2 linked regions of the Oryzias latipes genome follow. The protein of the gene in region 1 purifies or fractionates together with the protein of each later gene. This does not show direct contact. Links are inferred from orthologs where the notes say so. Each region holds a gene or a part of one and is shown on either strand. Other genes may lie near its edges.

Evidence for each region.
Region 2: the proteins of tdrd3 (region 1) and fmr1 purify together in Homo sapiens (affinity purification with mass spectrometry; 4 studies listed by BioGRID and IntAct, with this or other methods). This does not show direct contact. The link is inferred for Oryzias latipes from reciprocal best matches to the Homo sapiens genes TDRD3 and FMR1.

The regions. Positions count from the first base shown.
Region 1 is NC_019861.2:15,649,095-15,652,913, forward strand, and holds part of tdrd3 (tudor domain-containing protein 3), read right to left. Parts: coding exon 3,709-3,819; intron 3,587-3,708; coding exon 3,515-3,586; intron 2,490-3,514; coding exon 2,340-2,489; intron 1,325-2,339; coding exon 1,172-1,324; intron 603-1,171; coding exon 425-602; intron 304-424; coding exon 178-303; intron 1-177. UniProt on the Homo sapiens protein: Scaffolding protein that specifically recognizes and binds dimethylarginine-containing proteins. Plays a role in the regulation of translation of target mRNAs by binding Arg/Gly-rich motifs (GAR) in dimethylarginine-containing proteins.
Region 2 is NC_019868.2:25,375,308-25,379,126, forward strand, and holds part of fmr1 (synaptic functional regulator FMR1), read left to right. Parts: intron 1-1,438; coding exon 1,439-1,555; intron 1,556-1,641; coding exon 1,642-1,812; intron 1,813-1,891; coding exon 1,892-1,970; intron 1,971-2,055; coding exon 2,056-2,195; intron 2,196-2,288; coding exon 2,289-2,375; intron 2,376-3,393; coding exon 3,394-3,610; intron 3,611-3,677; coding exon 3,678-3,819.

The sequences.
Region 1 (3,819 bases):
TATAAATGACAATTATTACGTTCCGTCTATGGCCATTATGGGAAAGGTGCTACAGATCACTGAGCAAAAACTTCTGGACATTTATTAGACGTCTTTGCAGATGAGATGTGGGGCTTTACTTTGTTTTACTTTGAATGATGTTGCTCCAAGTGCAGAATCATGAAGATGTTCACCCACCATCCACAGAGAAAGCCCCCATTTTGGATTCCAGAAAGTCAAACAGAGTGCTTGGACCAGAAGGTCTTCCTCCAACCCCATCATCCTCGTCTTCGTTTCTGGATCTGCCTCTTCCCTTTCCTCTTCCTGAAGTCAAAATTAAGCATACAGCTCAGGTGGAGGGGGGGCTAAACAAAAACCACCACTTTACAACTTGAGAAACGTAAACGACTTTCTGAATTGATTTTGTTGTGGTTTGTGTACGAACCTCTGGGTTGGGACTTGTTTGATTCAGCCACCGTAGAGCCGGGTCGGCCACCAGAACTTCCGGTCAGTAGACTGTTTAGAGCCACTTCAACATTGTTGTTATTATCCAGCAGAGCTTGTCGAGCTGCCTCTCTGTCAAAGCCCATTTCCATGAGGTCTCTCAGAGCACGTTCGTCCACCTGCCCACCAACCACACGGAGCACAGTCAACAATCAAAAAACACCAAAGACGGGAAAAGTGTATAGCTTTGGAGAGAAGGAGTAGACTCATGGCTAGCAATAAATACGATGCATGAGGAACACCTCCCCTTTTTTTTTTTAAATCTAGCTTAAATTACAGGGTAGTGCATATTTCAATTTAAAAAGGTAGGCCTAATAAAAACAGGCTTATGTCTTCACGGGTTTAGATGTGTTGCAACACACATCTAAACCCGTGAAGACATTTATGTGTTCAGCCTAAAGCGGGACAATTACAACTTCATGATGCAAAGCAACAAAAAGAGACAAATGAACTCCAGCTTAGTTTAAAAACCAGACGGACCTCAAGTTCATTTACATTCTTTAACATTGGTCAATGTGTCAGACGACCTCTAAACGATGAAACAAGACTTCAGTTCAAAAATGTGAAGAAATAAAGAAGAGCAACCTGCTGCCTCCTTTAACGGTGCAAGGAGGCATTACTATTGTCAGGAAATACCCATGTATTGAACTTTAAACGTTAAAAAAAGTATAAATGTTGGTCATCTCACCAGCTCTCTGTAGTTTCCCTCTGGTCTGCTTTCTGTCTTTTCAAATTTGTCTTCACGTCTCCTTTGCTGGTTGGCATCTCTGCTTCGGGAAGAGGAGGCAGCGTTGGATAAATTACTGCCCGCATTCCCGCCGCCACCAAAGCTGCGGGGACCCTAACAAGGAAAGAGGAAGACAACAGTTGTGATCATGGGAAGCCGGGAAAAAGGAGAAAGAAAGGAAAATAAAGAAGAATATTGCTGTTGACATTGTAATTATAAGTTCTTCTTCTGATGAATGTTAAGAAGGTCCATTTTTTTAAACAACGAAGGTTAATGCAAATGTCAACAAACTGCATGTATTTGAGCTGGTAACCAAAATAGGTGGTGCATCATTTGAGAAAATAGAATTTAGTTTAAAGAATACAGTTTGTCTAAAGGCATTAAAGATGTGATGAGGAAGGATGTAAATAATGAAAATCCTGTTTTTTTCAATGTGCTTTCAGTTTTGTTGTTAAAGGGGTAAAAATGTGTTTTTAAAAAAATGTATAACCGCTTTGAAGAAAAAACAGCTACATGAGCATTTAGATTCCTTTCAAATAAAATAGCTACCCTCATTCTGGAAGATTAATTTTAAGCTTCAGAAAGCACCCAAAAGGGGTTACTGCATTCACATAAAATGGAAATCAGTGGAACACCAACACAGATTAAGGCTGCGTGATATTTGTGGGCGGAACTGTTGGGGCAGAGGAACCTCGCCCCTCTTTCCCCCGCCCATTGCTGGGTTTACATTCTCTCCCACTAGATTACAGCCCCTCAAACCCCCAGCCTAACATTACCGCTGCAATAAAAACTGGCAAGCAATTTTAGAGCTATTCAGCCGTGCAGTTCTGAGGCAGATTCCAGCTCCGATGAGTAAAAACAAAGTGTATTTGGATCTATTTGTCTGCAAGTGGATTGATCAGAATATAGAGGGGCAGGGGCTTAATTTTCCTTATATAAGTCCTCCATTGTGAGAAAAATGCCACAAGAACTCGTTAACAATATCAGAAAAACAAGTTTCATCGAAGCTTTAAGATTCTTCTATTTTTAGATTACTGCTAACACAGATTTTTAAGCTCTCTTGATACCTTTGTTGTGTGTTTTAGTAATTAATGTGAAACCGTAAAGTGACCGTAAAACATTGACAAACCTCTTTTGTCTTGGCCACCTCGGCGATCGCCGCTGTTCGCTGCTTTTCAAACTCGTCGTTCTCGTCGGGACTCTTGACCACATTCTGCGTCTGGAGGGTTTTCCTCTGGTCCAGTTCTCTGCTGTCTACCTCGTCCTTCCGGGCACACTTCTGCTCCGAGGACAAACACAGATCTCTGTTAGTCGTTTGAACAAAGAAACACTGTAACACAATACAGAATGGTGTCAAAACCAATTTAAATACATTTCCTTGGTGATATGCAAATATCAGTGATACACAACAGCTCAACAATAGAGAAAAAAGGAATTCAAAGGAAATGCCAAATTTTCACACAATTTAAAAGAGACTATATTTCTCAAAGAAGTTTAGAATATTTAGAGTTTGCAGAAAAATGGGCCATATCTTCTACAACTCAGACTTTCTAATGTCTTGTGCAACAAACTGAAAATAAGTCTGGTTCTAGTAAAGCACAGAGCAGATTTACTCAAAGATTTCTTCAGCTGTAGACAAATTCAAAAAAATGGAATTGGATAAAAAAGGATTCCTAGAGACAACATCCAGATATTAAACACATTAGGAATGCAAAGTTGTAAATTAAAAAAAATGTCAATTCCAGAGCAGATAAAGATGCTAAACCTTGACACAAAATCACTCACATTTTAACCTTTTAAAACACACAAAATTAAAAGAAAAATTAAAAAATAAAAGCATTTATGCTTTTGTTTCCACTTTTAAACTTTGAATAGAAAGCAACTATTTGTCAATTTAAAGTGTACAAGTGGACACGTACGCTATATTACCCACTTAAAGATTACTCACAGAAACATGCCATATTTTCTTTCTTTGCTGTTTTTCTTTTAAATTCCAGACACTTTTGTATAAAACCCTAATGCAGCATTTGCACCACGGGTTATAGGTAAGGCCCAAAGCTGAACTGTAGATCTGTCCAACTATTTCAAAGATTTATGAAGACAATGCTTCAAAAGATCAAAGGAAACACTGCGGGGAAAAGAAACTCAAGGCCAGACCTGTCTGACTTGTTGAATACCTTCATCATTCCCAGCTTTCCTTAAAGCTGCGGCTGAAATTCCATTTCTTAAACATCCGTGCTTAAAGCTGGCCTTTTCTAGACACAAGTTGAAGTTTGTTTAAAAGCGTGCAGGACTTTTTCGCACCTGACCAAATGGTACAAAGGGAGGTGGGCCCCCTTCTGCTCCGATGTTGCTCCTGCTGTGTTTTGCCAAACTCTGCAAGGTGAGGAAGAAAGACAACTCCATGTTCAAAGCTATGTAAGCCCAAATGAAATAAAAAGAGCAATGATTGCTAAAATTAGATATTGTCTTTTAAGCCAAAAAAAAAACAATCTCACCCTTTGGAGCTCCCATTTCTCCACCATGTGCTCAACTTCTCCTCCAAGGACTAAGATGTTTGAATCTTCAAGAAGCAAACAACCATTTTTAACCTGGACTGTACCAAGAAG
Region 2 (3,819 bases), on another chromosome or scaffold:
GACATTAAAACCACTTTTCCCTTACCTGACACGAGCAATGTAAGGAGACAGAAAAAGACACTGAGAAAGAACAGGAAGTGGTTTAAAGGACACATGCTTCCATCCTTCCTGGTGCATTTTTTCTGAAACTTATTAAGGATATTTGAAGGTAACTGTTGGGATTTGAACTTGTGGTGATAACGGCAGTAAATCAGAGCTGTCAAAGAAGACTTTTAAAGCAATCCTGGGTTCTTGATTTCACACAATCTATTAACTTCTGGGTTAAATCTCAGCTAAAAGGAAAAACCAGGTTTGTTCACCAAATTACTCCTAGGTGGGAAGTAACAAAAGCATATCGGCTCCCATTTCATTAAACTGTAAAATGGTCCATTTTTTTTACAACAGTAATAAGCATTGACTTTGATATCCCACTTGTTACTATTATTCCAAAACCACAGATGTAAATCTCTGGTTTCAAATAAAGTGGATAAAACCGTTGGGTAATGTAACCACACACTATGTCTTCTAAAGTCATCGATTGTTCAGCTTTTTCTCTGGTGTACGTTCAGAGTCGACCGAGATCCAGTCAATCTGTTGTTAAGACCTCTTCTGGCGACACGAGTGCCTTGTTTGCCGTCAGGAACGCTGGTTGTGGACAATTCCAACACAGAAGTAATGAGATGGCCTGGCTGCAACATAAGAGGTTTTATAAATAAACCAACAGAACATGAAACAGAACCAGGACTGTGGCAGAACTAAACCATGAGGGGATAAGTGACAACAGAGGAACTGTCAGTCAACAACTTAATGCCTAAATAAAGTGCTGTAAATAATTAAAATCTGGTGTGACTGACGGTGGTTGACTTGGCACGAACCACGACTGTAAATGAGAACTGGAGTGAGTGACCCCTCCCCTTTGGCATTCCAAAGAGGAAGTACCTGCCAACTCCAGGAAGCCAAAATCCCATAAACTTCTATTAGGACATAAATAACCATTCATGTTCTGCTACTTTCTATGTAACATTTTCTTGCTATTCTTTTTTCTTCTTCATGATATTTGTCCTTGTAGTTCAAGTTATTTAGGTTATAAACTGGCCAATCAGATGCCCGCAATAAAAGTAGGTAGTGCCTGCTGGCCCCTCCAAGAGCAACATTTGATAGATTTCGTGTAGGCCGCTGTCACATGGTAGGGGTGTGGACTTTCAACAAGCTCACTCCTGATTGGTGAGAGTGGTTGCCATAGAAACTCAGACTTGGTCCAATCACTGCTTACTGACGACGTCTGGTTCCAACATGTATCATGAAATAAAAGGTGACTGAATCGACTTCACTGACAAAGAACAACGCACCTTGCATGAAAAGGCAGCGATCCAAACCGTCGGAATCAGTCATGGGCTCTCCAAAAACTCCAGATAAGTGTGACGACTTGTGTCTGACGGTTCCTTTAATGTGTCCACAGTCAGTGAATGAGGTCACACTGAAGCGGGCCAACATGATGAGCGACATGCACTTCCGGAGCCTCCGCACCAAACTGACGCTCATGCTGCGGAACGAGGAGGCCAACAGGCAGCTAGAGGTGAGTGCATGAAAAACGCTGCACGTCTGCTTTGGACCGACATTCCGACACGGCTTCATTTGTGTCTTTTTTTGTTTTGTTCCCAGAGTTCCAGGCAGCTGGCGTCGCGCTTTCACGAGCAGTTCACGGTTCGGGAAGATCTAATGGGTCTGGCCATCGGGACTCACGGCGCCAACATCCAGCAGGCTCGCAAAGTTCCTGGAGTCACAAACATCGACCTGGACGAGGAGACCTGCACGTTCCACATTTACGGAGAGGTTTGCTGATGGTTTCTCCCGACGGTGGTGTTTCAGTCAAAGACGGTTCCCTGAGACCATTTTCCGTTCCCCCCCCCAGGAGCAGGATGCTGTGAGAATAGCCAGGAGTTTCTTGGAGTTTTCTGAAGATGTCATCAAAGTTCCCCGCAACTTAGTAGGTGAGGCAACGACCCACTGTTCCCACGCTGTTTATGAGGCTTCAGTCCGGAAGTCATCAGCTGACTGATTTTCATCTCTCTGCAGGGAAGGTGATCGGAAAAAGCGGTAAGCTGATCCAGGAAGTGGTGGATAAGTCTGGCGTGGTGCGAGTTCGCATCGAGCCCGAGAACGACAAGAAGCCGTTAGCAGCAGCAGCAGCAGCGGCGGCGGCGTCAGCAGACGAAGTAAGGAGGAACAGAAAGCTGACAAAAATATCAACAACCGTTTTTCTATGATCCTGCAAAAGCTTATAAACATTTCAACCTTGTGTTCTGCAGGGAATGGTGCCGTTCGTTTTTGTGGGAACCAAGGAAAGCATCTCCAACGCAACAGTTCTGCTGGACTATCACCTCAACTACCTGAAGGTCTGTGAAACCAACCTGTACGGCAGCCGTCCCCAAACCCCGGGGGGAAATAAAAGAGAGAGGGAAAAAAACATTTTATTTATGATTTGATTCTGAAGGAAGTTTTATTTTGAAAAACTACTGGATTCTCTCCTCCACATCTGACTCATTTTTGACGCATAGGTCGCTCGTCACGTGTCAGATCCATCCGCTACTTTCTGAAGTGGATGCACCGACCGCTAAAACGAGACCGCTAAGATAGCAAAGGAAAAAAAGAAAGAAACATGTTTGGAGACGAAGAATTCTAACAATTTTTTTTTTTTTCAAAATAATAGAAAGCTGCATTTAACAGACGAAAACAAGGAATCTTTACTCTAAATACATTTTTGCAATATTTGTTCCCATTGACTATAATAATGATGCAGATTATTCAGCAGCTGGCTGTTTAATGTTGAGGATGCTGCTAATTAAGTTGCTCAAGCAGTAGATTTACGACTCCTATCATTTATAGAAAATAAGTCTTCGAGACCGTTTTTTAACTTTTTTTTAATTATCGGACCTTAAAAGTTAGACGAGGCTTTTTTTTTTAGCTTCCACTTTGACAGTTATGGGTTAGGGGAAAATCTATATCATGTTTGAATGGTTCCAACGTGAGATCTACTTTATAAATAAAGTTTAAATGAGTTGCAGAGGTTTTACAGAGGATAGAGAGACATTTTACCCTCAAAAGTTTGGAGAAATTGGAATCTAAAACAGTGATCAGATGCCGACTTTTCTCTCGTCCGTGAAAATATTGTCTGACATTAAACTGACAACTAAAAAAGGTTGTGGAGCCCTGCCGATACTTTATTCATCCTGTGACTCAATAACAAATGATTCTTGGGGAGCGTTCCAATAAGAAAGACCTCCTTCCTCTTTGATCCTTTCTATAAAACATTTGAGCAGAAATTCGCTGGTTATAGTTTCTTGCTAATTGATTTTTGGCGTCACACAATGAGAAGTCTTCTCTTCCTCCTCCTCCTCCTCCTCCGCTCCTCAGGAGGTGGACCAGCTGCGCATGGAGCGTCTCCAGATCGACGAGCAGCTCCGACAGATCGGAGGCAGTGGAGGGGGGTCGGGACCCCGGAACCCCAAAGACAAAGCCTACGTGTTCGATAACGGCATGGGTCTGGGGATGGGCCGAGGAGGAGGGAAGCCCTACTCGGGAGGAAGAGGCGGACGCGGGCGGCGAGGGGCGGGGGCTTCATTCACTTCAGGTAGGACCCTCAAGTGGCGCCTCGTCTCTCCGTGGCGTTGGTTTGACTTTTCTTCTTGGGGGGTCAGGCACAAACTCGGAGGCCTCCAACGCTTCAGAGACAGAGTCGGACCACAGAGACGAGCTCAGCGATTGGTCACTGGCCCCCACTGAGGAGCTAATGACAGGAGGCGGGACTTTACCCAGACGGACAGATGGGAGGAAGAGAGG